2 linked regions of the Stegostoma tigrinum genome follow. The protein of the gene in region 1 interacts with the protein of each later gene in a biochemical or structural test. Links are inferred from orthologs where the notes say so. Each region holds a gene or a part of one and is shown on either strand. Other genes may lie near its edges.

What was found.
Region 2: the proteins of pax3b (region 1) and sox10 form a complex in vitro, tested with the Homo sapiens proteins (2 studies listed by BioGRID and IntAct). The link is inferred for Stegostoma tigrinum from reciprocal best matches to the Homo sapiens genes PAX3 and SOX10.

The regions. Positions count from the first base shown.
Region 1 is NC_081367.1:23,445,620-23,462,935, reverse strand, and holds the start of pax3b (paired box protein Pax-3b), read left to right. Parts: upstream 1-11,042; 5' UTR 11,043-11,502; coding exon 11,503-11,590; intron 11,591-12,486; coding exon 12,487-12,719; intron 12,720-14,301; coding exon 14,302-14,431; intron 14,432-15,061; coding exon 15,062-15,196; intron 15,197-17,316. UniProt on the Homo sapiens protein: Transcription factor that may regulate cell proliferation, migration and apoptosis. Involved in neural development and myogenesis. Transcriptional activator of MITF, acting synergistically with SOX10.
Region 2 is NC_081391.1:23,833,985-23,850,606, forward strand, and holds the start of sox10 (transcription factor SOX-10), read left to right. Parts: upstream 1-7,673; 5' UTR 7,674-7,868; intron 7,869-8,095; 5' UTR 8,096-8,100; coding exon 8,101-8,486; intron 8,487-16,622. UniProt on the Homo sapiens protein: Transcription factor that plays a central role in developing and mature glia.

The sequences.
Region 1 (17,316 bases):
CAGCAGAAAATTTGAGTATTACCTAAAACCAAATGGAATTTATCATTTAATGACAACTCCATACCATCCATCATTCAATGGTCTGGCAGAAAAAGCAAACCAAAATTTGAATAAAGGCTTAAAGAAATAGCCTACATCTTCACCAGATACCAACTGTCATGGTTCTTATTTGATTATATGATCACCCCTTACAAAACTACAGGGATAGCTTTGGTAGAGTTGCTAGCAGTGAGAAGAATCTGATCATCCTTCGCTTGGGGGTGGGGGTGCAGGGTGAAACAGCATCAGGAATACCAATGCCAGACACAAGATTCTGCTAGAGAGACAGTTTTCTTCAGGAGACGAAGTTTGGTGTTGGAACCACAGGAATGGCCCTGCATGGGTAAGAGGCCTGGGCAATGTGAGGTCAGGTCCACTGATGTATAAAGAATGATCTATAAAGAGGGTCCTGAACAAGCATGTGAAGCATATGAAAGCTGCAAACTCACAACTGGTGCATGGGCAAAATATTCCAGACCCCATGGACTGCCACTTAGACTGTTCCGAAACCCATCGGCTCTCCATCTCCATCAAACCTTGAAGATACCTCAGAATGTGAGGTGGTCATGGTGGTGGATATCCCTGTCTTGATATCTTTGCCACCTGAAGAGGAAACTGAATTTCTTCTGAGGTCTCTGTGTGCAAGCAACATGCTACTGTGCATTACATGCTACTTGTATCAGAGGCAGATTTGCAGGAACCTGACCAGGTGCTAAAACGCCCCAGGAGGTGCTATTAAAAAAAAGCAACAGCCTATGTCCTCAGATTTAGATGGGGAGGGATGTAGTGAGTGTAACAAGGTCAGCTGTGTGGACCTCATAGAACATAGCTTCTGATTGGGGCTGTTGATCTGGTCCAGTTGGGGAGCTGTAGTTGACAGAAAAAGAAAAGGAGAATCAGACACCCTGTTCAATCTTAGAGCTGGCTTTGAGGTAGCTGGATTAGTGTCAAGGAATTTCCGGATGTAAATAAAGGGTGACTTGGTGACAGGATACTGGCCTTTATGCAGTTATTTCAACAACCACTCACACTTTCCTACTTTCTCTCCTTGCAGACAATGTACAACTTGGCAGGAAATGGAGACCTGGCATGGGAGTAATGCCCCCTAGTGACGGACACAATATTGGTGTTTCACTGGAAAGAATGTCATGTAGCTGCATTTGTCAACAATGACCTTTACTATTAGCCCGAGCATCCTGAAGCATTGGTGATCAGACATGTTGAGGGAGCTGATCCTATGCCTGTTAAAACAGTGTTGAGATTTTGCCCCTTTCTAATGGGAGTTTGGCGTCCATCTCATCTGCCCAATGGGGGAGTCTGCAGCTGCAAAGAAGGCAACTGATGCTCCTGTTTGTGTCACTTCTGCTGTTGCTTTGGCAGTGCCTCAGAGGAGATGGATGGTGGAGCTGTATAAGGTGCTGTAATGCTGTGCTGAAGGTTAGCAGCAGAAAAGAGTGATTGAAAGTGAGTGAAGCGTTTGATAGATGACGGGCCCTCCAAGAATGGCAACCGCCTACCAAGCTTTGAACAGCAGAGTCTTCATGGCCATGTAACTGATCAAACTCAGAAGGTCACATTGGAAGCCTGACCCAATAACAGCTTTTGGAACTTTCATACCTGAACTGACTTGTGAAGGCTGGGAAATTCTGCCCCCTGTCATTTTGTTCATTAGATTGGAATCAATGAGCTGTAGTGTCCAATAAACTTGGGATTTAGCACTAGATAACCATAATTTTCATTCAGTCCTTAAAATAATGCAAGTTTGTGCTCACTGGATAGCTGCTACTTAATGAAAATTTCACAGGAAGACCATCACTAGGATTTCATAAAATCTCAGAAATTGTTTATCATTTGATACTAGTGACAATGCTGCCAGACTAGAAGACAACAATAGTTACATAGGGAAACAGTTCAGAAATAAAATGACCTCAAAGTAAATTTACATTTTCGTCACAGTTGGCAACATTGGAAATCCTTCATCAATGTCAGAGAGGAACGCTCGTGTTTCAATTATTTACTTTAGCAGTCATTGGAACTGGTCTGTGAGTCCATAAGAAGGACAGAATTGATTATGAAACTGAGACCAATTATACTTTTTAAACACACAAATGCAAATAACAACTCTGCTATTGCTGCTAAACTAATTCTTATGTTTGAAATCCTTTATTGTGCTTCAATATCTTTTTCTTAAATGGTACAGGTATGTCTACTCTCTAATTTCCTTTAATTGATAATAATACAGACTCAGATCACTGAACTATGCAATAAATATCTTTCTGTTGATATCCAAGCAGTTTCCCTGCTCAAATATCTTCAGTCAATTGGTCATTGTTAATGACAACTTCATATGCAATTTTATTTTGTTTTAAATTATTTTTGAACAATATTAGAACATGGAACAGTACAGCACAGTACAGGCCCTTTGGCCCATGATATTATTTCCTAGTTTATGCACCATTGAGATTTAAGCTCATATTTTATGTTTCACTTGGTTAATTAGTATCTTTTTCCATGTTTGAATAATAAATGTGTACTTCTGAATTATGATGCTGAACTTTGCTGTGCCAAAGAGCTTTTTATTTTCTGAAGAAGGGCCTCGACCTGAAACGTCAGCTTTCCTACTCCTCTGATGCCGCTTGGCCTTCTGTGTTTATCCAGCTCTACACCTTGTTATCTCAGATTCTCTAACATCGACAGTTCCTACATTTGATACATTTTTATTCAATTGGTTTATTCAGCGTTTTACAGAGACTATTTTCAAGTATAATGACTAATTATTTTATTGAAGTAATGGACTCAATAATTTTATACAATGTGCACTTATTAACTTTTAACACAATAGAATATCTCATAGTGCTTTTCAGAAGCATTCTCATGTAAAAATTGACATCAAACCACAACTGAGATATTAGGGTAGATGGCCAAAAGCATGGTCAAAGACATAAGTATTGAGGAGCTTCTTCAAAGAGGAATGAGATGGAAAAAAAAATGTTCAGGGAAAGAATTCCAGAGTTTGATGTGTTGGCAGCCAAAGCATACCTATCCAAGTGGAGACAAGAACGTTGGATCCAGAAAAGGTAAACAAAAAAGGGAAAAAAAGAGGGAGGTAAAGTATAATGGAAGTGATAGGCTAAAATTTGGAGTTAATGTTGATACAGCATAACTTTTACCAATATGGCCTGAAGTGAAGAAATGCAAGAGGGCTAAGGTCTGTGTTTGAGACTGGGAGTAAATGAGAACAGCATTTGGAAAATTACAACCATGTGCCTTTAGATTTAATAATTCATAAAAGTTGATGGAAGTAGTGAATTATATTACTCGTGATAATTAGCATGTTTCTCCATACACTACAGTTATTCTGCTAACAGTTGTGTCATGTTTGAAAGCCTCTTTTTGGTTGCATTGTTCAGGATTCTACATTGGACACTTGATTGAAAACAGATTAAGGGGAGATATGGTCCAGCTAAAGTTGTACATGGTGACAGTACAAATGTTTGGAGAACAGCACAAAAGGAGAACATTTGGCTCATTATATCCATAACAGCTCTTAATTGGAGTAATCTAATACTAATCCTATTGCTTTAATGCTGCTGGTCTGTATCTTCCTCTGCTTCAAATACTTAGCTACTTATCTTGTAAACACTTCAACCATTCCCTATGGCAAAGAATTCCATGCTCCAATAATCTTCTAAGAAATTTCTCCTTACAATTCTATTGACAATTCCATACTGCTGACTCCTCAACACTCAAGCTTCAATCAGAGGGAAGACTTTCCCTATTCATATGATCCAAAATTTAATAAAGCTTTAATAAATTTTCTTGCAGCCTGATCTGTATCTTTGGAAAAAGATACGCTTCATAACTGCAATTTTTTTATTCATTCATGACATATGGACTTCACTGGCTAGCCAAGCATTTATTGTCCGTTCTGATTGTTCTTGAGAAGATGGTGGGAGGCTGTCTTCTTGAACTGCTGCTATCCACATGGTGTATTTACACCCTCGTGAGGGTGGGAATTCCATGGTTTTGACTCAGTGGCAGTGAATGAATGGCATTATAGTTTCAAATCAGAATGGACAGTAACTTGGAAGAGAACTTGCAGACGGTGGAGTTCTCATGCATCTGTTGCCCATGTCCTTTGAGGTGATAGTGATGGTAGGTTTGGAAGATGTTGACCAAGGAGAATTGGTGAGTTACTGCAGTGCATCTTGTAGATGGTACACACTGCTGTGACTGTGGATTGGTGGCAAACAGAGTGAATCTGGAAGGTGGAGGATAAGATGCTGTCAAGTGGGCTGCCTCAACCTGAATGATATTTAGCTTCTTGATTGTTGTTGGAGCTGCACTCATTCAGGCAAGTATTACACACCTGACTTTTGTAAAAGGTGGACAGGCATTAGGGAGTCAGAAAGTGAGTTATTTGCCTCAAAATTCCAAACCTCTGACCTGCACCAAGCACTGTAACTGTGCCCTAGTTATAACCTTGCACAGGTTTTTCATTACTTCTTTACACTTGTACTCTTTTGTTACTTTTAAAATGCATGCATATTCTTTAATGGCTTTATGTGATCTCTAGATTGTTCTGCTCATGCTCATCCTTTCATGTTCTCCTTCATAAGCCTACTTCCATTCCTTTTTATTCCTCCAAGAATAGATAATTGGACATGTCTCCATAATAAATTTGACTAGCCATTCTGCTTACTTGCTTATTCCCTCCTGAAACTTATATCGGGTCTCCCTATTGTTTTGCAAACCTCTCTTTTTATATTATGGCTAAGTTTGAAATTCTGCTGGCTATACATAAATCTAAATGGCTTAAATGTAACAAGATGAAAATGGACGTAGCACTGAAAGGTGCATTTCTTCCACTCTTTTTAATACGAGCAATACATATTAATATAACACCCCGTTTCATGTCCATAGACTAAATTTATATCTACGTAACTCAACTTTTATACCACACACCAGCATTTTTCTGACAAGATTCCCTTCAGACATTTTATTGAGTTCTCTCAAAAACATGTCTCAACCCTGCTGCATTCGCTTTACCTGTACATGCCTAAACAAAATTAATTTGCCAAATATTACCTTGCTGCTGATGTCCTTGATTGTCATAAAGTTCTGAAAATGTAAACTGGTATGACAGTAAGACTTTTAAAAGTTTACCTACAAGTAACACAACAATAACTGTACTATAATTACCTAACATATCCTTTTCTTTCTTCTTGAACAGGGTCTACCCTTCAGGACCTCTGCATTGTTTCCATATCTATGGATAATGTAGAAATGTAGTCAGAACCTTTCTATTCCATGTTAAATTCCTTCCACTGTTCCATCCATAAAGTTAGAGTCTAATGAATTAACCATTTGAGATCTGCTCGGTTCTGAATCCTTTCCACAATGTTCCAGCTTATTCTCCCATAAGTCAGTAGTCTCTACTAATCTTAAAGTTGACTCACAGTTAGTTTTCATTATGTTTATACTATATTTAGAGACACGACAATTATATTTATCCCTGAGCAACGCAACGTTCTTTTCCAATGTTCCTTTACTCACACTATGTTTATAAGAATCTTTCCAATTTCCTTTTTTATAATTGGTGAGCCTTTTATAGTTTTCACAATTTGGCATTGTGAGCCTTAGTTTTATCATATGGCTTTTTATACTAGTTTTAGTTTGGAATTTTCTTCTTAACCAAATATCCCACAGTTTGACATTCTACTTTATAATATAGCCATGTTGTATTCTTATCACTTCATATTTGAAGATTCTCCACTGCTGCTCAGTTGTTGTATTTACTAATGTACCTGTTCAGTCAATTTGGACAATACCCATCTTAGAGTCATGGAGATATACAGCATAAAAACAGACCTGATGGTCCAACTCTTCCATGTCGACCAGATATGCCAAATAAATCTAGCTCCATTTGGCCCATATCCCTCTAAATCCTTCCTATTCATATACCCGTCCAGATGCCTTTTAAATGTTATAATTGTACCAATCACCTCAACTTCTTTTGGCAGCCCATTCACTACACGTACCACCCACTGTGTAAAAGGTTGCCACTTAGGTCCCTTTTAAATCTTTCCCGTTTCACCTTAAATCTTTGCTCTCTAGTTTTGAACTCTCCCACTCTCTGAAAAAGGCCTTGTCTGTTTGCCCTATCCATGCACCTCATGATTTTATAAACTTCTGTATAGTCACTCCTCTGCCTCTGATGCTGCAGCAAAATAGCCCCCCTTCTATTCAGACTCTCCCTACAAGTCAAATTCTCCAACCCTGGCAACATCCTTATAAATCTTTTCTGAACCCATCCGAGTTTCACAACATCCTTACCATTGTAAGGAGGCCAAAACTGCACACAATGTTTCAATAGTGGCCTAACCAATGTCCTGAACAGCTGTAACATGACCACTCAACTCCTATACTCAATGCACTGACCAATAAAGGCAAGCATTACAAAAGCCTTCTTCAGCACCCTGTCTACCTGTGACTCCTGGCAAAGGGTTTCGGCCCAAAATGTTGACTTTCCTGTTCCTTGGATGCTGTCTGAGCTGATGTGCTTTTCCAGCCTCACACCTATGACTTCACCTTCAAGGAACTATGAATCTGCACGCCAAGGTCTCTTTGTTCAGAAACACTCTCCAGGACTTTACCATTAACTATCTATGTCCTGTCCTGATTTGTGTTTCCAAAATGCAGCACCTCACATTTATCTAAATCTCATTAATGTTTTAATTTCTGTTCCAATCCTTCACCCTTTCATATTTGTTGCATATTCCTTTGTTTTCACGTTGAATATCAGAGTGCTGTGATTGCTTTTTCTCACATGATCTGCTGGCTGTCCAGTTATTTATTTTACTTTAAATGTTGACATGGTCCTGGGAAATGTTTTCTTGTGTTAGAAATATAACTAGATTGGATTGGAAAATGCACATGTATTTAAATGTAAAATTAAACTGGTAAAGTAGCCAATTAATAATATTTTATTACATTAGTTGTAAAACACAAAATGTTTTGTATCCACATAAATAGTATCCAAGTATTAAAAATTTTCTTGTATTCAGCAAAAAAAATCTTTAATGCTTGGATAAACCATCCAGCCAATTAGATGATATGGGGTCTTACTGAATCCAACAGTTGCCAGGTTTCTTGAAACTAGTGCTGCTGATTGCTGCTGAATGATTTGAAGTCACACAGTATCCCATTTACTCCTCACCCAGCACTTTGAGGTATCTCTGTCAGAGATTCACACATTGCCAAAAACTGGAGCTGGCCTAGACCCTCTTTTGAGATTCATAATCTGATGTACTACAATTATAATATAACCAAACTACTGCTGCACCTTTCTTTGTAAGGTACTGACGTTCTTAATTCATTGCTACAATGTTTACTTGACAACAACACCTAGGAGCTCACTTGATTTTCTTATCGGAAGGGGGGATCTTGAGGAGTCGGTAATCATATTTGCTGAATATACCCTTAATTGTAAAATGCATGGGATGGATATCTTGAAACAAAGAATTGAATATGGTCTGTAGAACAATGGACATGAGCAAAATGAAACTTTCTTCCTCCGCACGTTATTTTATTATTAGTTTATCTTGCTACAAAAGCTTTCACCCATTTTGTTTTGAAATTTGCAGAGCCAGTTCCAGAAACTAAATTGGATCCGTACAGAAATGCACTGTTAACTTGTAGTAGAAATTCATTTTGGTAGAACTGGATACAGCAGTAAATAATGACTAGACTTTCCCAGGTGGAGTTTTTTTCAATCTGATGCACACTGTTGGAATAAATATATTTTCTGCCTCCTGGTTGGTACAGTCTTTAATCCAGTTGCAAAACAGCATTGATTTCTTGATAGAAAACTATCCCTAGTTTAAATGTAATTGACAAACTCAACAAGGGAGCACCAAGCATGATTTCAATGAGAAACTGACATAATGTTTTCACGGTGGAATGGTGAATGCTATCCTGAGTTTGGAAATTAAAGTATATTCTTAAAGCAGAGTAAAGTAAGTTTTACTCTGTATTTGGCTGTGCTCTGTATACTCTGGTACAGTTTGTTGCTGTTATTAAGTTTTTCTAGATAGATCAAGTTTCATTTCCATAATACCAAAACTCCTTGCCTTGTTGAATATAAAACATTATAAATAAACCCCACTCACTTCCAGGCAGATGTATACGAATCACAAGAATAAAGTAAACTTTGCTGTCTTTATGCTTCTATCATGCTGAGTGAAGATACACATTGAGAATCTGTTGAGATGGAAATAGTATCAAAAATAGTCTAGGAACTCTTAAAAAAAACTGTTGTCTTGAGGTTGTGGTTACACCATCATTAGAACACATTGATTGTATTGTTGATATGTAATCCTTAGCCATCAAGAGTAGAATAATTTTCCTTTTATTTATAAATAAAACTCTGTAATTAAAAAAGTTAATATTGAGTTCCAAAAGGTTCAATATGCTAAAAATGTCAGTAATTATCATGTTAGTTTGATGAATTTTTTAATTTTAAATGCTACTTGTGAGTTTTGTTTGAAATTGATTTCTTGAATTCCATCAAATTGCTGTTTGCATATGTTAGTTCTCGCATGATTATTACTTTATTGCTATTATTACATAAATATATTTAATTTGAAATACTGATGCTGTGTCATTTATTAATTGTTAATTAATAAATTATTCTGATTAATTGTAGCAAAGGTGCATGAATGGTTTCCTAATAATTTTGAGGGTTAGAATTCTGAGTAATTGTGCCAATTTCTTATAATCTAAACTTAATAGAGTTTTAAAAGATCACTGTGTACTTTGCATAACAATAGTTTGAATTATAATTGGACGACAGCGAATAATTATAATTATGCTTGAAATTAATTGTGAACGGATAACTGAGACAAATACTATGTTAAACAAAAACAAGTCAAAGGCGTTTGTAAATATGTGACTAAAGGCATAAATTGCTAATATTTCCAAGGATTAAGATAAACGAACTGTAACAGTTTCAATGTATTCTTTTTAAATTAAAATCATAATCCTAGGTTAGAACGAATGGATAACTAACGAGATGTTCAAACAGAACGATTTACTTGTAACCCTCTGTTGGAAGAGCAAAAAGCATCTTATTCGTGAAATGTACTCCCTCCAAAAGCCAAAACATCCACACATCAAACAAATGCAGTGAACATCAAAGACTTGTTCAACTTAATGTACAACTCCGAAAATTCCGACAATTTGTGTTTAAGATCTTATTATTACAAGATATTCCCGTTTTAACCAATCGACACGCAGTTGCGAAAAAAATTCTGAGTGAAACGAAAGACATAACGTTGTTTCAAGTTCTTCTAAAAGACCATATTTGCATGATTGGTATAACTCGCAGTGTTCGTATTCACTCCAATTTCAGTTCTAGTTAAAGGGTACCTGGCCTTGAAGGTCTCCTTAATTTTTGAGATTTATTTCGCTGTCTGTTATGTAATTCAGATTTTCTTGCTTACATTAATGACAATTCTGACATTCATTTTTACTTAAATCCCTTTGCCTTTTAATATCATTTACTCCATCCCTAAAATTAGTGCATTTATTATATGCAATAACAGTCGTATCGTTTACGAATACAGTTTTGATTTCTCGAATATTTTGCCAACTAATGCTATATAAAGATCCACACTCTAAACGTGTACAATCAAACCTCTGATTTTGTCTCCGTTGCAGTTTTGTAAAGTTAATAGACAGTGCACATTCATGTAATTCATTTACGCAGTCAAAAGCAGCTAATTTAAGAGAAAAAAAAATCCAGTTGCTTCTGATCAAAAGTGAGATGAAGAATTGAGAAAATTTTCCTGGAGAAATGTGGTTACAGTAATTGGTTTCTGATTCAATCCCCCAAATGCGGGGACCATTCTTTATCTGCACTGGTGATCACTAAACAGGATGATGCTGTTTCAAGTGCTGGTTTTAAATAACGTGAAAAAAGGGGAATTAATATAATAGCCAGTGACTCTTTTTTAATCTTTTTTTGTTGCGTCACTTGATAATCATTGTGTCCTCGCATAAGAGAACAATTGTTGAGATTAAGAATCAGTAAGTGAAAGAGATGACTTTTTGCCAAAAGGAGGTTGTTGCAACCGTCTCCCAAACAAAGCCTAGTTTTAACTATCTCATCGTTTGATTGATTAAGGCTTTGGATAAAGTTCCGCGCCAGACTGACAGGGTTTTTTGAATAGCCACTTCCAAATAAAGCCCACTTGGATGGCTGTGCTTGAAGATCAGAGTGTACAGGATGAGTTTACTGGCAGTTACCAAGTGATAAATAGAGGACTCAGACAATAGTACCTTCTCTGAGGACAGACGGGCTTTACAACAGTCCTGGCGTCATATCCTGCTGTGGCGCTTCTGCTCTCAGCCAGAGCACTTCTTTCTCTCTTTTTTTGCTTCTTAATAGTACATATATAAACCCCAGAATATGTGAAGGCTTGATTAGTCTGTGATCATCACAGTGCCCTGCCTTTTACCTGAGAGGCTTTTGTTTTGCAGCCCTCAACCTGCAGTGGGACTGTCCCACAACGCGCCCCCAAACAGCAACTTGATCCTGCCAAAGTCCAGCTTGGTTTTAAGAGACCTATAAGCAAATAATTGTTGGTGAATTGCATTACAAATAATCGCTTATAATATCTACGAACGATGTGCTGCCTTCAGAGGCGTTCTTGACTTGATTCCAAAAGCAGAGTTTGCCCTGAAGGCACTCTACTTTATTGTGTAAGGAGCAGCTAAAGGACGCATTTCTAGATCAGTGGCCCGATAATGAATGAAAGCTGTCGCGAAAGGCAACAGGACAGGTTGCTTTAGCTGCGGCAGGCGCACGTTCACTTTTGTATTTAAAAACCATATTTTTTCCAGCGATGGGGAAGGAAGATTGCGCGGATTGGCCAATGAAAACACACGTCTCCACAGAGAAGACTCTCGCCTATCCGCCAATCAGAAAGCAGGGGTCTCGATGGAGCCAGGGGTGGAAGAACTGATAAATTCTCCAGGTCACCGTCCCAGCGACTCCTGGCTGTGACTCCAACTCCTAACCCTTGGACCACAGTTGTACCTGTCACACATACGCAGAGCAACAAAACCGACCATCAGCACCGACTTCCGAAACTTCAGGAGAAAAACTCAGCCAACTTTCTTCAACAACCACCCCCATCACCGAGCCCCCCCCCCCGCCCTTCCCTCACTTCCGTCGGAGTGTTTGGGGGTATCACATCTGCTCAGAACTGAAACAACTGTACAACTTGCCTGAAGTCAGCTAGCCTACGTGGATTTACCTAAAAGTGGTCACACATTTCCTTTAAAAATAGATTTTCATTTCCCCCTTCTCCCTCTCCTCCTCCTCCTCTCCCCCTTCCCCTCCTCTCGCCCCCCTGTCGGCAACGCACAGGAAAATCTGGGAACTGAACGCCTTTAAAAATGAGCACGTTGGCTGGACCCGTCCCAAGAATGATGCGGCCAGCCCCGGGACAGAATTACCCTCGCAGCGGCGGGTTCCCACTGGAAGGTGAGCCGCACATGCTTTAACTGACTAAGCACATTCTGGGGTTTCTAGTCCAGTTCTTTAAAAGACGCCGTTAGTCGCGCAACCGCAGAACCTTAACTCTTCTGTACGAGGCGAAAACAATATGAGGCTTTCCCTCTCCAGATTGTTTCAGACGTAGCTGTAATTGTCTTGGCCTTTTCCGGGAGAAACCCTTTCCAAAGTTTCTCGGAGATAAAGGGGCGTTCTGCGATTATTATGTTCGGTGTATCCAGTGAGTAGAATCGTACTGCGACTTGAACTCTCTTGTGAGCGCAGTCGTGCACCAGATACACCTTAAAGTTTAACGGAGACACTCTGTGAAATCAATCAGAAACAAAACTCCTTCGCCGTTTCAAATACCTTTAAAGTTTTGCCTTGACCACATGTGAAAAAGCGCTGGGTCCAATCCCTGCGCTAGACAGTTCATTGTAAACACGAACTGCGTCGGATCGGTGAATCTTCAAACTAGATTTAAAAGAAAGTTGAGATTTTCAGTTCCTACATAGAAGTTTGGAAGGCGTGTGTGGGATGGGGGAGATGGTTGAATATATATTTTAACTATTGCAGTGGTAGAGTTGGGATAACGTCCCCTCATACCATATGAATGTACAACTTCAGATCTTAGATCCAAACGTCACCATTCAATGTTAAAGATTATTGTAAAGTGACAGCTAGGAACGAGGACAAATTCTATACCAAAAATCTATTTTGTTCCAGCATATCTCCCGCAAGGGAATCGAGTAAGGTACAGAAATCCCACTGTCCACTGATGTGTTCTTAACAACGTTGTGATATGTTTTGATTTCCTCTCCAAATCGCTGTTTGTTCGGTAAAAATTTCAACACATTTATTAATGCTGCCGTTTTCACTGCAAATAGTGTCAACGCCTTTAGGTCAAGGGAGAGTGAACCAGCTCGGAGGAGTTTTTATAAATGGCCGGCCTCTGCCAAATCACATCAGGCACAAGATAGTAGAAATGGCCCATCACGGCATCAGACCGTGTGTCATCTCCCGGCAACTGAGGGTCTCCCATGGTTGTGTCTCTAAAATCCTGTGCAGATACCAGGAGACGGGTTCCATCAGACCAGGTGCCACTGGGAGCAAACCCAGGGTAAGTCGATCTAAGCTCTTCTGTTATTTTATCAAATGCTTGCTTGATGAAGTGTTGGAATTTGGTTGATGTGAGTTACCGCATCATGAAAGGCATTGCGCTCGTTCACCTGAAAAGTGTGTCCGAATGGAGCTGTTGTCTCTGCAAGCTTTTCGAATGCGCTTTAAACACAGGCAAGTTAGATACTCTGAAACCACCTGAGGAGTGTAGTATCGTCTTTAGAACTGAAATTCACATCCCGTATTTGCAGAAAGCGCCCTAACATTTACACTGCCTATGTGTACAATCGTAAGACTCACGAGCGACTGTCATTATCAAAGCGTAGCAAATAACATGAGCTGTTTTTATCCAAATGTCGCTATTTCAATAAAGCTGAAAGTTCCTGGAACAGAATAATTTGACAGACATAGCCCACGTCGTTCAAACCCACTTATTCAACGCGGTTTGTTGAACGATGCAGTAACATTTGATCATCCGAATCGGGAAACAGGTTAGGCAATCTGAGGGACCAAAAACTTAAAACTCCTTCAAAAAAACTGAGGGCACGTGTAGCAATGAAAATGCCATAACTAAACTAGCGGGATTGCAAAGATGTAATCTATTTAACTATTGGATTCACGATTCGTATTCGCAAAAATAATAAAGCTCAATTTAAGGTTCACTACAGTAACGTATTCAGATTGGATTTATTCCATACCAGAAGAATCAGTTTTTTTTCATTCTCGCCTGATATGCAATATATTACATAAACGTGCAAGTTGTTTGATATTTTCTTTGTGTATGTCCATAAAATTAAAATTTTGCTCAACCCTTCGGTGGGGAGTGTTGCATTAGAACACATGAAATTAAGGGAACTCTTGAATAATTTAAATACCTTTCAGCATTTTCTTTATCGGGTAAACTTTGTTTCTCCACAATCGAGTAGGATGGTCAAACTGTTCAGTACTCGTTTACAACGCCAAAAACGCACGTTATTACTTGATTCGTAGTTTAATTTGTAATATGGATTGTTTTGTCACAGACAATTAAACACGCAGGCTGTAATGACCAACGATCATTATAATATAGCCCATTAAACACGGAACTTGTACAACAGCTCACCGCATTTTCAATAAAGCGCCTGCAAAGTTCAAGTGCTGACCTACAGTTGTTAACAATCAGTAAAGCGTTTGCACCCCGTTTTGTTTGTTCTTTTTGCCCTTACGTTCACTACAAGCCAACTTCATAAAATAAATAGTCTGGATCAGTAACCAATTGTATATGCCTGGGAGAAGGGAACTACGTCAAATAAAAGCAACTGACCATATAAACGTTGAAAAGTTCCTGATTTTAGTTTTGTGTTAAATCATCTTGTATGCAAAGTATTTTTTCTAGGATTTTGATGAGAAATTGTAAGGGCAGTAATTTTATGTCGGGAATTATCGGAACTTGAAAATACAGTATATTGTTGCTGATTTAAAATTTGCATACCTCTATGAATGCAAATAAGAAACAGGCCATTCCCCCCCCCCCCCCAGAGCTTATTAAACACAATTGTAAATCACGTTTTATTTCTCTTTTTGTAAAAACATCATTAATAAAGCAAATGGCAATACCAGACGTGGAAAAAAAGATTGAGGAATACAAGAAAGAGAATCCTGGAATGTTTAGTTGGGAAATCCGGGATAAGTTGTTGAAAGACGGCATGTGTGATAGGAACACCATTCCTTCAGGTTGGTTCAGTATTTGTGATTTTTTCGATGGAAACGTGGGTGAAATGGGTAGAAGGAATCTAATAACAATTTAACTAACATAGAGAAATAATTCTTCTGGCTTCATCTAAGCCTGGAACTGCCCGTAAACATGTAAAATGTGTCCAGCTGCGCAAACCAATAAAGAATGCTTAAACAGCTCATGGTTTTAACGAATTGCTTCAAGTAGGTTCCGGGCTTTAATGCATCCAATTAAAATAAATACTGTGTGAATTCACTTTAAGTGAAACATTATTATTTATCAGGATCGTCAGAAAGCAATGTTATAAGGTTATGATAAGCTACCATTTTGCAGACAGGAATTATAGTCTACGTATTTCACTAAGAAAATAATTCATTGCAAGAAATTGAATATGCTTTTGCCACATAGATGTTGATGCTGAAATGTAATCTTTTTATTTTAATTTCATCTTTTCAAGATTAATATTGTTGGGAAAATATTTTTTAAAAGACTAGTTTTATTCGAATTTCTATACTAATGACTGAATCCCACATTATTTGACATTTAACTACGCGAAATATAAAATTTCGTCACTGTTTTAAATTAATCATTTGATCTTTTTTAAACAAAAAAAAATTTCTTCCAACAAGTGAGTTCAATAAGTCGCATTCTGAGGAGTAGATTCGGAAAGAAAGAGGAGGAAGAGGAAGACTGTGAAAGGAAGGAATATGAAGACTGCGATAAAAAGACCAAACACAGCATAGACGGCATTCTGGCCAGCAAGGGTAAGAGGTGGAATTCGTCTCATTACTGGTGTATTTTTAGCAATTCCGAAGTATTAATTTAAATGTTTATTACCAATTTTATTTTTATGGATAGGCATTGGGGAATCCCAGAACGATTATTGCTTTACATGTTTTGATGGTGGGTGGGGGCGGGGTGGGGGTGTGATGGTGGTGCTGGTATCTCTTCGTTTAACGTTGCACCAAAAGAAAAGGTTTTAACCAATTTAGAATACATAGATGAAAGTTCATATACCCCACACTGGTGTAGTAACAATTACACTGCCCGAGACGAATGCGACAAAATGACCACGAGCACACAGTTGCCTGCAGCTGTAAATGCCTCGATGCCCTTAGCTTTGTTTTGTGGTCCTGGTACTTTCCGAAATCAGAGAAAATGGACGGAAGTACTGCTTTCGTTCTGTCTTGTGAGTTTTATTGAGCTGGTTTCGGGTGGTAAACTTTACGCCAAGGTGTTAAAACAATTCAAAAAAGTTATAGCAAAGGGCGGCGATTTCAAAGTTGGATACCCAGCGTGGACAAGCCTTATCAGCACAGCAACCTGTTGATAGTTTGCCGCTTCATTTGTGCGCCAAGATAAAGAGACAATTTTCAACTTTTACTGTTTGACTGCAATTTAGTTTAGAGTTCGGGAATGTTGTCAGGAGGAATGGGTTTAATTCTATACGGTCGGTTTTCGGAGATTGAGAAAGTAATCGTACCGTTTTTACATTGAGTAAAGGACACCAAGAATGTCAACAATTCGGCTATTCTTGCTTCAGTGTTGCCGATTTCTTCTTGACTTTAAAGACATAGAACTCAGTTTGAGATCGCAGGTGTAACGAGCCTGTGGAAACAAACGCTATGAAATAATGTTCTTAATAACAATCCAGTGTAACTGTGAAGGATGGAAAATGATTTTAATATCGATTTCAAAAGTCCAGTAATTAAATTTTAAGCAAATTTGTAAACTTCTGACACCACAACATTTGGCGAAATCCGCGATTTTAAAGCTTTCGTCCGTTTTTGGAATTTGGCACCGGTTCTGAAGTCTCGGACCGATAATGTACGTAGATGCAAAACATCGCAGGACCTTTATCAAAATGTAGATAAACTAGCCTTAGATTCTACTATTTGAAATTGACGATCATGTCGATTTCTCATTACTACATGATTCCAAAAGGTTACGAGAAGTGCGTCAGGTTATCTATGATTTGCCATCGAATTGGGTTATTTTTATCACTCCCTTGAGTTTGAGTTTTGATCAAATCAGATCTGGACTAAATTACTTGATTCCGTTTCGACTAAACCTTATCAAGTCGAGATGATCTATGCTACTGTATTCGAATAGAATCATTCATGTTGCAATATTAGAAAGACATAAAATCATAAATTGTGAAAGAAGGGTTTCCGATAGAAAATCCCACTCTGAGTGAATTATACTTTAAATACATCTGTTATAAACAGTAGCCCTAGAGACAAAAACCTTCTGATGTCATTACATAAATCATTCGATCAATTTTTAAAAAATAAAATAATAAAATAATCTTTTCAGCTGATTGTCACAGAAATGCTGAATCACCACTAACACGCAATTGAAATTGATAAATTTACAGCTTTTGGGTTGTTTCTATAGGTTGAATTTCATGATGATCTATTGAATCCACTCAACCTTTTTCCTTCTGTATATCTTTCGCTACATAGAGCATCCATCTCATTGAGAAATACCAAAGGTACTTTACCAAACAAGGGACATTACCCACTTTACTCCGAATTTTATTTTGCGGGAAGTCAGGGGGTTAACTGTTTGAGAATAACTGTTCTGTCAGCTCCTTCGTCACATCTCTTGGGAACTGCAAGTTGTGTTTAATATGATGCCACAAGCAATAAAACGGGACATCTGTGGATATAAAACGGGACTGTATCTAATAAAAACGAATAGATGGCTCTGTGGTAGGGTAACGAATACACCTCAGTGACCTAACGTGTGTTAACTACCTTTAAAATACAATATTCGTTTTAACGGTTTCAACTTTAATTGTAATTGAAGGGCTGTCAAACGTTGTCTAATACTTGAAAGTCAATGGCATTTCGCAGTTTTGACTGTGGGGCTTTTGACTAAG
Region 2 (16,622 bases), on another chromosome or scaffold:
GTTAAGCAGTGAAGGATTGAGTCAATTGACAGTGAGGGTATGAGCAGGGGTGAGGGGGTGACCGCGGTAAGCGGGTGAGCAGGTTTGAGGTTGAGGGGTGACCGGGGTGAGGGCGTGAGCAGGCTTGAGGGTGAGGGGGTGACCGGAGTGAGGGGATGTGCAGGGGGGAGCAGGTGAGCAGGGTTGGGGGTGAGGGGGTGACTGGGGTAAGAGGTTGAGCAAGGTAATGATGAGGGGGGGAGAGCTGGATGGGATTGAGTGGGGAAATGTTTAGGGTCACGAGGTAGACTGGGGGGAGGCCGGGGAAGGTCAGTGGGGTGGGGGGGACAGGTTATTGAGTTAGGGTCAATTTTAGAAACTCTCCCCCATTCTGAAACTGGCTCCCAATTGGTCATCATCCAAAGTGTTGTTGCTTATTGCAGAGCAAACCCACAAATCCTATCAGTCTAACCCAGCCCAGGCCTCCTACATCTGCAACCATTCAATGGCTCAATTTTTTGAGGAGAAGATGCCTTTTGGCCCATCTTGATTCTATCTTTCCCCATCATGGAGCAGACAGGCCTCAAGAACCCCCTGCGAATGCGATGTATGCCTAGTCATCTGGCCCAGGTATAGAGGGGATGGATGGACTCTGAAGAGTTTGAAGAACAGCAGCAGCCTTCTGAGGATGAAGATGGGAATGTGATGCAGGGGGAACATCATCTTCGACAGGATAGAGTGCTGCAGTTTAGAGTGCAACACCCCAGGCAGGACTCAACCGACATCCAGTGGACCTGAGGTGGATGAAGTGATCGCTCGCTGACTGTAAGTTTAGGTAATGCAATGGTAGTGTCCCTCCTCCAGACCATAAAGCTGAGGTTCTAATGAGTGTGCTCCATGGGTGTGCAATAACAGCCCTGAACAGGCTGATTAGAAAATGCTTTGATGGTGAATATACTTGCCAATCACAGCCCATTTACTCTCAGGCACGAATGCAGCGGTATTTTTGCTTGTACTTTCCTCACTTTCCTTGTTGTTTAATTTAAAGAAAAAGCTTTAACAACTGAAGTCTTTACAAAGTGTGCTGTTGCCAGATTCGGCAATGACATGGCATTGTGCTCTGCCTGTGTTAGGGAGAGATCAATGGGTGTTAACCACAGGGAATGTTGTAGCCACAATGACAGGGAATGTTGATCAGGGAGGCGATGTCACAAGGTGCCGATAGATTTACAAAAATGGGATCAGTGCATGGCAAGAGAATTGAGTGAGAGAGGTCATGGAGGGCAAGTCTCCATGGAATTCCCTGGAATAGACACTCAGCTGTTTTTTTGACAAGATTCAGCCCAGTGTCCCTGATTCGAATCCAGTCCCTCCCTAAGAACGGGGTCACATCCATTCTGCATCAGCACTGTCAAGCTCCTTCAGAATGTAGGGTTCACTCCTCATTAAAGGTAAATTGTGAGAGAAACCCCTCCCTATTCCTTCTATCTGAAAACAGGAGAAGAAAGGGGAGAAGATGTGGTGATGATGCAGTGGAAGGAGCAAGGTTGAGACTGGGAGCTGATCCAATCAGAACCAGAAACAGCATGTTTAGGCTAGAGGTCAAAAAAGTTTCCTTTCTACAAGAGGGCAAACATAGCAGCTGGAAGCATGTGTAGGAAGAGTTGATGAGTCCAGCACACACAAAAGATGTAACGCAAGGGTTGATGCTTTGAAAGGATGTTCAAATAGCTCAAAACAAAACCCACCTCGTGATCTCACATATTTACAAAGTAATGAAAAGATCGAGTCATGATTCTTCAATACTTGGAGAGGTTAGGGAAAGAATCAATAACAGTAATTATTCTACAACTCCAATTTGTACAAGTTAATTCCATTACACTTCAGAAATGGATAAGAATCGTTTTAAATAAAAACTGAAAGAATTGTGGAAGCCATAAATCAGAAACACACACAGAAATTTCTGCGAAAGCTCAGCAGGTCTGGCAGCATCTGTGGAGGGAAATCAGAGTTAATGTTACAGCGCAAGTGACCTTTTCACCCATTTTTATTCATTCATTCACAGGATGTGGGCGTCCCTGGCTAGGCCAGCATTTATTGCCCATCCCTATTTGCCCAGGGGGGAGTTGGAGCCATGAGTAGGCCAAAACCAATGTGGATGGTGTACCCGAGCAGATTTCCTTCCCTCCAACAACCAGACAGGATTTTCCTGACATATGACACCAGGTTCATTAGAACCTTAATTCCAGATTTTTGACAGAATTCAAACTCCATCATTAGCCATGGCAGAATTCAAACACAGGCAAAAATACCACTAAACCATACCAACTCCCCGCTGTCCTTTAAACTTTGTTTTCAATTGTGCACATCACCGCCTGGCCTCATACTTATTGCCTGTCCCTAGTTGCCCCCCTTGAGAAGGTGGGGGTGAGCTACCTTCTTGACCCACTGCAGTCCATGTGCTGTGGGTTGACCCACAATGCCCTTAGGGAGGGAATTCCAGGATTTTGACCCAGCGACAGTGAAGGAATGGTGATATATTTCCAAGTCAGGAGGGTAAGTGGCTTGGAGGGGAACTTGCAGGGGGTGGTGTTCCCATGTATCTGCTGCCCTTGTCCTTCTAGATGGAAGTGGCTGTGGGTTTGGAAGGTGCTGTCTGAGGATCTTTGGTGAATTTCTGCAGAGCATCTTGTAGATGGTACACACTGCTGCTACTGAGTGTCGGTGACAGAGGGAGTAGATATTTGTGGATGTGGTGCCAATCAAGCGGCTGCTTTGTCCTGGATGGTGTTGAGCTTCTTGGTTATTGTTAGAGCTGCACCCGTCCAGGCAAGTGGGGAGTATTCCATCACACTCCTGACTTTGCCTTGTAGTTCCGAAAAACAGTTGTTGGATTTCAGTCATGAACTCTGCTTTTCTCTCCACAGATGTTGTCAGACCTGCTGAGTTTATCCAGCTCTTTCTGTTTTTATTCCAACAGTCCCACAGCTGCATTATTTTACTTTTATTTGAGCCTTATTAATTGTGGACAGATGTTGAGGAGTCAAGAGGGGTGTTATTCATTGCAGGACAGTGCGGCACTCCCTCAGCACTGACCCTCCGACAGTGCCACTCCCTCAGCACTGACCCTCTGACAGTGAGGCCTTCCCTCAGCACTGACCCTCCAACAGTGCGGCACTCCCTCGGTACTGTAGTGGAAGGATCAACGCAGGGTCTGTGTGCTAGTGGATGGGACCTTTCCGTGTCCGTACCACGCAGTGGCCTGGAGCTTAGCAAAGAAGGACGATGGAGATCAGTGTAATAGGATCCACGTGGTTGACATTGCAAATAATCAGCCTGGTCAGCTGCGTTATTGAGCTGTTGGAGATAATGGGAACTGCCGATGCTGGAGAATCCAAGATAACAAAGTGTGTAGCTGGATGAACACAGCAGGCCAAGCAGCATCTTAAGGAGCACTCCTAAGATGCTGCTTGGCCTGCTGTGTTCATCCAGCTACACACTTTGTTACTGAGCTATTGGGAGTGTTTTACTGAAATTACTCCAACCATGAATGGCCAGCACATAGAATTCAGTTATTTTCTTTTACCTTGCCTGAAGGTCCATCTCAGAGTGCGATTACATGGCAGCTTGTTTGTTTCAATACCACAGTGTCCTCCTCATCTCAGCACCTCGGGTCCAAATGCAAATCAAAGGAAGAGTGAGGCAATTGGTTAATGCCAGCCTTGGAATCTTGCCTACAATCCTTTCTTTTCTGGATAACCAGTGGGCAAAAGTGGAAACTGAAGGTAATTCACAGACCTTGCTCAAACACCAAGCTAGGATCTACCTTGAGAACCTGGTAGTTCCTCACTGCATTTTCAGCGAGATTCCAGCTCAGCTTCATTGGGTGGAAATTGTCTTGGTCAAAGTTGTGTCCAATTTTCAGTCCTGGGTGATTCGGCACAAATCCTAGTGATCAACTCATCAAATCAGACTGCATGTTCCTTTGGTCGTTTGCTATAGGCAGACCACAAATTATACTCAATCATCCTGCTGTTGTAAAACCAAAAGCAAAACATCTATGGTCAGGATGTGATTATATATTTGGGTAACAATTGCAGAATAATTCAGAGCACAGCACTGATAACCGATATAAGATACCCAGCTGAACTCAGGGTGTCATGCATTTGTATGTGCTAAAAGCAACATACATTCAGAAATAGGGCACATTCTCTACTGAGAGAAAGAAACATGCTTAAACCCTGTATCAGAGACAGTAGGAACTGCAGATGCTGCAGAATCCGAGATAACAAGGTGTGGAGCTGGATGAACACAGGCCCAGCAGCGTCAGAGGGGCAGGAAAGCTTGATGTTTCAGCCTAGACCCTTCATCGGAAATAGACCCTTTTTCTGAAGAAAGGTCTCGGCCCGAAACGTCAGCCTTCCTGCTCCTAAGATGCTGCTTAGCCTGTGTTCATCCAGCTCCACACCTTGCTATCTCTGCTTAAACCTTATGCCTTTTTGGAATTACCCACATGATTGAAAAGCCTGTAGTTCCCCATTTTCCTCTCCATGGCAACAGCTTAGCAAATCAAAGTTGACCTGACAACCAACCATGGTATAGATTGTTATGATTGCTTGAAATTTGGCATTCTTGTGTTGGTCCTGATGTGTGCACATCTCTCTGTGCAGCACTTGGAAGTTTTAACTTAAGAAACGATTGTATGTCTTTTGAAAGAAAAAAAATGAGTGCCTTCTTCAAAAGGGATACAGTATCAGGATGGAACAATTAATTCGCAAATAGCTGTGAGTGAAGGTTTGGGAATCAATGGGGCTACAGTTTCTTAATGAGTGCAGATTAATTCATGGCAATTATTAAATTGGTTCCGTGTAACTTAATGGCAAGCAGGGTTGATGTTTCACAAGAAATATTTCTGCTCTAAATCTTTTCTCTGATCTGCTAGGATTTAATCACAGGGTGTGGGCTTCATTCACGGGTCCGGCTGTTCATGCCCATATTTAGCCATCTCTTAAGAAGATAGTGACAAAATCTCATCCTGAAACACGACAGCTCATGTTGAAGAGTTACTCCCACGATGATACCAGATCATCCGTTCGAGGATGTTGGTCCAAAGGTTTAGGGAAGGAATTGCAATACATGACCAGTTCAGGATGCTGTGGAATGTCCACAACAGTGCAAACTTCAAACACTCCCACTACACTGTCCCCATAAAACACTCTCAGCACAGGGGCAGCACGGGGTTAGATACAGAGTAAAGCTCCCGCTACACTGACCCATAAAACACTCTCAGCACAGGGGCAGCACGGGGTTAGATACAGAGTAAAGCTCCCGCTACACTGACCCATAAAACACTCTCAGCACAGGGGCAGCACAGTGTTAGATCAGAATAAAGCTCTCTCTACACTGTCCCCCCCCAAGCACTCCCAGGACAGGGGCAGCACAGGGTTAGACACAGAGTAAAGCTCCCGCTGCACTGTCCCCCATCAAACACTCTCAGCACAGGGGCAGCACGGGGTTAGATACAGAATACAGTTGCCTCTACACTGTCACCCACCAAACACTCACAGTACAGAGACAGCTCGGGATTAGTTAAAGAGTAACGGTCCTGCTAAACTGTAACGCTTCCTCTACATTGTCCCTCCTCAAACATTTCCAGGACAGGGATAGCATTGAGTTAGACACAGAGTAAAGCCCCTCTAAACTGTTCCCACCAAACACTCTCAGGACACTGGCACACAGCAAGATCCCACAAACCGCAGCAGAACAACCATAGAGTCATACAATAGACCCTTCAGTCCAACTCATCCATGCCGACCAAGTTTCCCAAACTAAATTAGTCCAATTTGCCTGTGCTTGGCTTATATTGTTCTGTACCTTTCCTGTTCATGTACCTGTCCAAATGTCTTTTACATGTTATAATTGTGCCCAATAGAGGGAGTGCTGTGCTGTCTTTTGGGCGAGGCGTTAAACTAAGACCCTGTCTACCTTCTGAGGAGATGAAAGAAATCCCACTGTGCTATTCTGAAGAAGAGTAAGGGGGTTCTCCAATGTGTCAAAATCAATCTTCATCTCTCTGTCACAATCACTTGGGTGTTTGGAATATATGCCTTCATTACTCAGACCACTGACTTAAGGAGTTGGGATGCCATGTTGCAGTTGTACGGGACACTGGTGAGGCCACATTTGGAATACTGTGTAGCGTTCTGGCTGCACTGCTATAGGAAGGACATTATTAAATTGGAGAGCGTGCAGCAAAGGTTTACAAGGACGTAAAACAGAAGTTGCTGGAAAAGCTCAGCACGTCTGGCAGCATCTGTGAAGAAGCCAGTTTTGAGGAAGTATCAAAACATGACACGTTAACTCTGAATCTTTTCTTCACAGATGCTGCCAGGCCTGCTGAGCTTTTCCAGCAACTTCTGTTTTCGGTCCTGATTTTACAGTATCCGCAGTTCTTTCAGTTTTTATTTACAAGGATGTTACCAGGAACAGAGGGTTGAGTTATTTGGACAGGCTGGATAGGCTGGGACTTTCTTCACAGGAGCATAGGGGGTGAGGCGTAACCTTATCGATTATAAAATCACGAAGGCCATAGGTAAGGTGCCCCCACGCCCCCCTCCTCCAGGATTGGGGCGTTCAAAACTAGAGGGCATAATTTTAAGGTGAGAGAAGAAAGGTCTAAAAGGGACCTGAGGAGCAACTTATTCACACAGAGCGAGGTTCATATGTGAAATGAATGCCAGAGTTAGTGGTAGATACACTTCCATCCGGTCCATGTGTATGCAAGGAACGTCATTTAATTTTTGCAAAGATACCCGCTATCTTCTGGATGTGACATGTCGTTGTCCTTTCCCTAGAATGGGGGATCTCAAGACCAGGGGGCTTTTTTAATGTGAGAGGAGAGAGATTTAAAACAAAACATATGGGTACTTTTTCTCACACAGAGCGGTTCAACTGTGGAATGAACTTCCTGAGGAAGCGGTGGAGGCTGGTATAATTACAACATTTAAAAGGCATCTGGATAAGTACGTGAAGAGGAAAGGTTTGGAGGGATATGGGCCAGGAGCAGGCAGGTGGGACTAGCTTAGTTCGGGATTATATTCGGCATGGACCGGTTGCTCTGAAGGATCTGTGTCCGCGCTGTACGACTCTAAAGCTTCTTAAGTTCTTCAGAACCGAAGAACAGTCAGACTGGACTGGAAACATTAACTCTGATTCTCTCTCCACAGGCGCTGCGTGACCTGCTGAGTTTCTCTGCGCAACGTCCAGCATCTGCAGGCCTTCGCCCTGATTCTGACAGGTCTCTGAGCACAATTCCACATCTACACAAGTGAAAGCCTCAACATGCCTCCACACTCGCACACTCCACACTTCCGGATAATGAAGCGGGCCCCGCCTCTGGGTGGAGTCTAACGCCTAAGCCCTGCCCACCCATGGAGAGCTGTCCAATCGCTGCAGAGCTCCATGGGGGGCGCCAAGAGCCAGGCAGAGTAGCCAATGGGGGCTGGGTATGGTATTTAAAGCTGAACGACCGAGCACCCTCACGTTTCTTTTTACAAAAACTTCGGCTGTAGCTGGGAGTTGCGCAGCCTCTGCTGTTGAATATCCCCAGGAGGAGGAGGAAGAGGAGGAGGAGGAGTGGGAGTGGGGGGGGAGGGGGAGAGGGAGAGGGGGAGGGTTGGGGAGGGGGGGGGGAAGCAAGGAGAATCCCAGGGCTGAGAGGACAACTCATTCCATCGGATGATGCCCACTGTTTGCTCTTTAATTAAATCTTTCAACACTAAGAGAAAAACAGAACTGGCGTTGTAACTCTGGAGGGACCTGCAGAACGTTCACAGAAAGTTAGTTGGAATTTCTCAAGCGCTGAAGAGCTGGCACTGACAAATCTTAAGGTGCAAATCAAGTTTGACAACTTCCAAAAAAACTTTTTTTGTCTTCTCTCTGCCCTTCTCTGATTGTGTTTCTGAAAAAGGAAAGGGTTTGTGTTCCGGGGAATGAATTAATGTTTATAAAGGCGGCTCTAGACTCTCTCTCTCTGTGTGTGTGTGTGTGTGTGTGTGTGTGTGTGTGTGTCTAGCCATTAGCGAGCTGTAATCGGGTTTATTTTTTTACTTGGAAGGGACCATGTCGGATGATCGGAGCGTGTCAGACGTGGCGAGCTCGGGAGGCTCAGAGAATGAGTCGGTAGTTTCTCCTGGATCCTCTCTCGCTCCTGATGGAGATGAAAAGTTCCAGGCTGGCACCGAGGAAGGCAGTGGCAAACGGGAGAGCGAGGAAGATAAATTTCCGCTGTGCATCCGAGAAGCGGTGAGCCAAGTGCTGGAAGGTTATGACTGGACCCTAGTGCCCATGCCGGTCCGAGTCAACGGCTCCTCAAAGAATAAGCCTCATGTCAAGAGACCTATGAACGCCTTCATGGTGTGGGCTCAGGCCGCAAGGAGGAAACTAGCAGATCAATACCCACATCTCCACAACGCGGAGCTTAGCAAGACTCTGGGCAAACTCTGGAGGTGAGTTCAACACACGCGCACACAAAAAAATCTCCTAAAGAACTGAGCGAAAAAACACCAGAAATTGCTGGAAAAGCTCAGCGGGGTCTGGCAGCATCTGTGGAGAGAAATCAGAGCTAACGTTGCGTGCCCGGTGACTCTTCCTCAGAACTGAGGATACTGACATTCAGAAACAAACACAAAACTAGCTGGAGAAGCTCAGCAGGTCTGACAGCATCTGTGGAGAGAGAGAGTGTGTGTTAATGATTCAAGTCTGGTATATCTCTCCTGCTGAACTGATCTTTGAGTTGTTGTAACATTTAGGACATGCAGACCGCATTTGAAACGTTAACTCTGTTTCTGTCTCCGCGAATGCAGCCAAACCTGTTTTTAAGTGTGTTTCTGGAGGTGAGTTCTTGAGGGTTAAAACCCCTTTCCCCTTGGAGCATTTCAGATGCCAGCACCCTCCAGCCGAATAGAGGGCCCGCGGAGACGCGACCTGAGCTGTTTGTGTTACTCAAATGCGAATTTTTGCCTAGCGCTTTCTGGGTTTTGCTTTACATTTTGTTTCCGTTGTAAGGCAGGCTGGACAGAGAGAAACGAAATGCCTTTCATCAAGCTCTTCAGCCCTGGGTTGAGAGGTGCTAACTTCTCAGCCGGGTTTAGGGGCGACAAAGTTTTGGGGAATTGGAAATCGTTTATGGAGCTCTGGTCTAATTTAAATAGTGGTTTGCTCAGCCGGATTTTTGCACCAGTCCTTCAGAAGCATTTGCCAGTCATTTTCCATCTAACGCAGACTGCAGATACACCGAAATAGGAACCCACTGTTGCCAGAACTTCCTGCGTCGATTCCAAACTTTTTGTCTGATATTTACTTGCTACTTTTACAGGTTCCAACTGGCTTGTCATTAAATTAATTACTTCTCAATGAACAGCTAAATTATACAAAGCAAACATTACTTTGTGAATATTGCTGCCTTTGTTTAGTCTGTGAGGATGCATTCAAAATGTTTGCAGACCTTTGTCTTGTTATTCCCAATTGGAAGAAATTCTGAATTGGAATGGGCCGGGGAACTGGGTTTGGAGGAATTTGCAAGGAAAAGCCTTTCTCTGTATGAATCTTCAGTCGCCACATTTCCTGACTGCAAGGAATGCCCACCACATCCTAACATTGTGAGGGACAACTGAAAAGTACAAAATATAAAAAGAGTGAGGGAGGAGGTGCTGAAAAGCTTAGGTTCACTGAGCAGGGAGAGACAGAATGAGCAGATGAAAGAGGGATTGGGAAAGGAGAAAGGTGGGTAACGACAGGAGGAAAAAGGGGTTGGAGTGAGCGTAAGAGATGGACTGAGGGAGGAAAAAATCTTCCAACAAGTAAAAGGGATAGAGAAAACTGAGCAAAGAATGTGAAGCTTCAAATGGAGAGGGAATGGGGAACAGGAACGAAGGATACACTGAGAGACAAGGGGGAAAATGGATGAACTGTCTTTGCCAATTATGCGTGTTGTGGCACCTCTCTTAAACCCCTGTTACAAAATAAAATGAAAATGAGCTCAGTAGGTCATGCTACAGCAAACAAGATCCGTCAACTTCCCATCTCTAATTCTTCATATCCTATGTAAATTAGCATTAAGTAGTCACAGACTGTGAATATTCTAGCCAGTGCAAGATAATATTAATTATAGGAGTAACTGGAAGGCAAAGTACAGGGCTAATGGTAAGATTCTTCGCAGTGTAGGTGAGCAGAGAGATCTTGGTGTCCATGTACACAGATCCTTGAAAGTTGCCACCCAGGTTGACAGAGCTGTTAAGAAGGCATACAGTGTTTTAGCTTTTATTAATAGAGGGATCGAGTTCCGGAACCAAGAGGTTATGGTGAAGCTGTACAAAACTCTGGTGCGGCCGCACTTGGAGTATTGTGTACAGTTCTGGTCACCGCATTATAAGAAGGATGAGGAAGCTTTGGAAAGGGTGCGGAAGAGATTTACTAGGATGTTGCCTGGTATGGAGGGAAGGTCTTATGAGGAAAGGCTGAGGGGCTTGAGGCTGTTTTCATTAGAGAGAAGAAGGTTGAGAGGTGACTTAATTGAAACATATAAAATAATCAGAGGGTTAGATAGGGTGGATAGGGAGAGCCTTTTTCCTAGGATGGTGACAGCGAGCACGAGGGGGCATAGCTTTAAATTGAGGGGTGAAAGATATAGGACAGATGTCAGAGGTAGTTTCTTTACTCAGAGTAGTAAGGGAATGGAACGCTTTGTCTGCAACGGTAGTAGATTCGCCAACTTTAAGTACATTTAAGTCGTCATTGGACAAGCATATGGATGTACATGGAATAGTGTAGGTTAGATGGGCTTGAGATCGATATGACAGGTCGGCACAACGTCGAAGGCCGAAGGGCCTGTACTGTGCTGTAATGTTCTATGTTCTATGTTCTATGTTCTATGATATGGTCAAGAAATTGGGAGCAGAGTGAGGCAGAAAAATGGACAGAAGGTTTGAGGGGAAGCCTAAGCAAGAAAGGATAACGTCACCAGTCCTAGCAAAACATAGGCATGTCCTTTGGGGAGAGACCAGGGAAGGAGAAGTGTGGTGGTGGGGACAGTATTATATTGCCAACAAAGACAAGTACTAGAGAGAGGGGTGGCAGGAGAGGGGAACTGCCCCCAACCCAACTTTTTCTCTCTGTGCAAATTGCCTGTGAGAGTGCAGTGGGATTGATGGAGTCAACAGCAAATCACTAAATGAGGATTAACCAGATTGCCCTGTGTGCTGGAACAGGGGAGAGCCTCTGGAGTTGGGCAGGAATCAGAGCGTCTAGCCGATAAGAGGGTGTGATGGATCAAGTTGGATTGGCTCCATGGATGTGACTCACCGCCTCAGTACAAAGGATGTGGAGGCACTTATGGGAGGGTGTTATGTTGGGTGTCACATTGATGCCAAGGAGAGGTCCTCACCGTGGAAGTGGGTGTTCCATTGCGGTGATTTGTGGGAGCTGTGCTGGTGAAAGGAGGAGGAACAGTAACACGCTGAGTCATTCAGCCCCTCAATTCCAGTTAGCCATTGAGGAAGATCATGGCTGCTGTGAAGCATCAGGGGCTTGCATGAGGTGTACTGGCAGAAATTTCTGATGATAGTGTGTATTGTCCACACCTGAGAGAGAAAGCAAAATGATTACCAATAGACACATGAGGAAGCAGCTGAGACCCTATGCCCTGCAACCCCCACCTCCTGCCAAAACACTATTGTCAGGGTGACCATGGGCAGCACTCTCACCTGGCAATATTCTGAAATTGAAACACACCCCAGAGTACAGACAGGCAGACGCTCCTGGTGTGTTACTGAGGGAGCGCCGCGCTGAGGGAGCGCCGCACTGTTGGAGGGTCAGCGCTGAGGGAGCACCGCACTGTCGGAGGGTTAAGTGTACATGAATATTTTGACAGCCATGATATGAAGAGGAGTAGTGGAAATCTCACCCCTACTCCTGTGTCCTGGCCAACAATTATCTTTGTAGTATCAAACTAACCCTTAAATCAGGTACATTTTTCTCACTATAATAAGATAATAAAGTGTGAAGCTGGATGAACACAGCAGGCCAAGCAGCATCTCAGGAGCACAAAAACTGACGTTTCGGGCCTAGACCCTTCTAGAGCTCTCTGATGAAGGGTCTAGGCCCGAAACATCAGCTTTTGTGCTCCTGAGATGCTGCTTGGCCTGCTGTGTTCATCCAGCTTCACACTTTGTTATCTTGGATTCTCCAGCATCTGCAGTTCCCATTATCTCTGACACATTTTTCTCACTGATGTGTTTACTGTCCTGAAAATCCATTTGCTACATTTGAGCCATGACTGCCCTTCGAAAACAATGCATTAGTCATGTGACACTTTGGAATTTCCTGAGGTTGTAAAGGATGCTATTGAAATGCAATTTGTTGTTTCTCACTCATATCGTAATTAAAGAGAATAAAATAATAAACTTCAAACTGGAAAAGAAAGCAGCACGGAGGCTCAGTGGTTGGGCAGCGCCAGGGGCCCGGGTTCAAATCCAGCCTCGCGTAACTGTCTGTGTGGAGTTTGCACATTCTCCCTGTGTCTGTGTGGGTTTCCTCTGGGTGCTCTGGTTTCCTCCCACAGTCCAAAGATGTGCAGGCTAGGTGGATCGGCCATGCTAAATTGCCCATAGTGTTCGGGGGTGTGTGGGTTATAGGGGGATGGGTCTGGGTGGGATGCTTCAAGGGGTGGTGTGGGCTTGTTGGGCCGAAGGGCCTGTTTCCACACTGTAGGGAATCTAATCTAATAAATCAGCAGAAGGTTATTGTGTTCTGGTTCAAATGCTCACTTTATCGTCAGGTACTGATCAATGTTCTATGTTTATCCTCCACTTTGATCAACTGATTTATCCATTACTGTCCTGACTGATATCTCACTGTCTAGCCCCACTGTCACCTCATCCAGGACCCTGCTGCTAGATTTGAACCCTCATCCTCCCTCCATTCACCTATCAGCCTTGGTCTTACTGACTTGCGTGGGCTCCCCATATCAGGCAACACTCCAACTTTAAGCCTCTGATCCTTGTTTACAAATCCCTCCATGGCCTCACATCCCCATCCCTTCCCTTTTTCTCATCTCATCCAGTGCTCCAACCTCCCCAGATCTCTGTACTCTTCTTCGTGTGTATCCATGACCTGCCCACAAACACCCACCCTTGCATTAACTGGGGCTAATGGTGGAGCGGTGTCATCGCTGGGCGAGTAATCCAGAAGCACAGGCTAATGATCTAGGGACATGGGCTCAATTCCCATCACAGCAACCTGGTGTAAACTAAATTCAATTCAGAAAATCTGGAATTTAAAAAAAGAAATAGCAAATGTTGTTGATTATTGAGCTGATGCATTAATGCCCGTTAGGGAAGGAAATCTGCCACCGTTACCCAGTCCGATGTGGAGGTGCTGGTGTTGGACTGGGGTGGACAAAGCCAGAAGTCGCATGACACACCAGATTATTGTCCAATAGCCTTATTTGAAATCACAAGCTTTCGTATCACTTCTCCTTCAAAGCACTCTGGAAGTTTGTGATTTCAAATGAACCTGTTGGGCTATAATCTAGTGTCATGTGACTTCTGGCCTTACCCAGTCTGGCCTACATGTGACTCCAGACCCACAGTAATGTGGTTCATTCTTAACTGACCCCTGAAATGGCCTCAAGACACTTGGAGATGATAAAGTCAACAATGAGTGAAAATATCCTTCCCCACACCAATTGGGTGACCACACAATTGTGCCATATGGAATGTTGGCCCAGACAGTGACACCCACGATTCCCAAAGACAAAGAAATAAGAGGAAAATTAACTTTCTGAATTTCTGACAATATTTAAAGTTGAGAAAAGGGATTTGGGAGTGGTAGGGGTGGAATGGCAGGGTGGGATGAATGGGATGGGGCTGAAAAATAGGATGTTTTCTCGACTACTGAAGCAATTTTTTTTGATCTAAAGAAAATGTTGCAGGGGTTATTTGGGGTGGAATCAGAACAGCTTACCAGCAAAATGTAACTGAGTTTGCAAAAATAAACTCTCTCAGCTATTTATAAGAAGGTGAGTAACCGGCATCCGGTAGGGAGCTGGAGACAGAAATCCAGCTGTCTGTGGTTTCTGGTGTTCAGTCACTCTGGAGCTGGTCTTGTAACTCCTGTCCAGGCATGTGGCTATGAGGAGATGCGTGGAACACGGGAAAGGGTTCGGAGAAAGCAGGAGGGCACCAAGGGGCAAAAGAGGATTTTCAGTCTCTTCAATCCAGCAATCATTCCGAAACCCGCTTCCCATCCATGGAATGGGTTTGATCTGACTAGGACTGTGGGAGGTTAAATTAATCAGTCATCTGGTTGGCCAATAAACCTTTAATCAGCAGCAGCTTTGGCAAAATTATTTAATTGTCAATTAGGCAGAAGGAATAATTTCTCACGTTGTATTTGATCAATTGATGTACATCAGGCCAAAAGAACAGCCTTGATAATGACACACATCAATAAAAGCAAGTTCAATGTCTCCTCAAACACCCCCAACATTTCAGTGAGGTTGTAATAGTTTATTATAGACTTCTGTCCATCAGTTCTAATCTTCAAATCCTCTCTGAGCTCACTCTCAATCCAGAAGGAGACCCACGTCATCTCTACACCTGAATTTTCCAAGGATTTCCTGGTCAGTCTCCCAGCTTCAGAAACTGCACAGTCTTTCCCCCTTCTTTCCTTCCCTTGTACCAACTCCTGGTCATTCATCATTGTCCCCACCCCTCACTCACGGACCTGCATTGGCTCCTGGTCAAGCAACATCTTGATTTTTAAAACTCTCCTCTTTGTGTTCAAATCCTTCCACTGCCTCCTACCTCACTGTCTCCCTGAGCTCTTCCAGCCTCTCAACCCTCACAGCCTCTGAGCTGAAGCTCTGGAATATTCTCGCAAAACCTTTTCACCTGCCTTCCCCTCTCTCTCCCAGATGTTCCTCAGACCTGCATATTTGATCAATCTATTGGTTGTCTGGCCTAGTATCTCCTTCCGGGTCTTGGTTCAGCATTATCAGGCTGTGATCCTGTTACCTTGGGATGGTTTTCCACACTAAAGCCATAATATATACTCCAGGCATTGTTGTTGCTGTGACAAGGTGTCTGGACTTGGCCAGGCGAGCATCACAATTGATCCACTTTTGAGCATTAGTAATTTTCGATAATGATACTGCTGTCTCCCATTCTGTGGAACCTCCTCAAGTGGTGAGGTCGGTGGGATCAGAGCATGCATTTATATGGGGTGGGGTTAAAAGATTAGAGCAGGCAGCATGATGGAGGTTGGCACTAGGTTTTCCCAAATCAGCATTGCTTGATAGAGGTATGCAGGTAGAAACAGCCTTGTTCCTTTAGCTCCCTGAGAGCAGTGAGCTGGAGTACAGGTTACACAGCAATAAATTCTCTCAGCCTTCCCTCACTTTGTGAGTTAACAAGGTGTAGAGCTGGATGAACACAGGCCAAGCAGGAAAGCTGATGTTTCGGGCCTGGACACTTCTTTAGAACTTTCTGATGAAGAGTCTAGCCTGAAAGTCAGCTTTCCTGCTCCTATGATGCTGCTTGGCCTGTGTTCAGCCAGCTCTATAATTTGTTATCGCAGATTCTCCAGCATCTGCAGTTCCCACTGTCTCTGTCTTTGTGTGGTTTTTGGATTACAGTCAGCCATTCTTGGGATACGGGGGTCACCAACAAAGTCTGCATCTATTATCCTTTGAAAAAGTGTGGATCTGTCCCAGTCAGTTTGGAAAGGTGCTCCTGAAGCATAGTTAGGTCTTAGCTGAATGGTCAACTTGCATTCACTCTTAGTGCTTTTTGTAGATGTTTAAAAAAACTGAGTCATAGCTTGAGAAGCTAGTTAAGAGTCAGAAAGATGTGAGATTGGAGTCCTATAAACCCGAGTCAAGGCGAAGAACAGCAGGCTTCCCTCTCTAAAGGACATCAGTGAACCAGGTGCATTTTTATAACCATCTGCTATAGGAAAGATGTTGAGACGAGAAAGCATTCAGAAAAATTTGAGGATGTTCCCAGGGTTGGAGGGTTTGAGTTATAGGGAGAGGCTGATTAGACTGGGATCATTTTGCCCGGAGCGTTGGAGGCTGAAGGGTGATTTTAGAGCGGTTTTTAAAATCATTGGGGACATGGATAGGGTGAATAGTCAAGGTCTTTTCCCTGGGTGGGGGGCTCAAAGCTAGAGGGCATAGGTTTAAGGTGAGAGATGAAAGATATAAAAGGGAGCTAAAGGGCAACGTGTATGGAATGAGCTGCCAGTGGAGGCTGGTACAGTTACAACATTTAAAAGGCATCTGGCTGGTTACGTGAATAGGGAGGGTTTACAGGAATATAGGCCAAACACTGGCAAATGGGACCAGATTAGTTTAGAATATCTGGTTAGCATGGACGAGTTGGACCGAAGGGTCTGTTTCTGTGCTGGATATCTCTATAGCACTTTTTTAGAGTTGCTTTTACCAAAATCAGTTTTTTCTTTTTTGTAAATTTCAAAACTGAATCCAGATTCACAGAAGAAAACTAAAATTGTTGCAGAAACTCAGCAGGTCTGGCAGCATCAGCAGGGAGACAGAGCATGATTAATGTTTCCAGATTCACAGT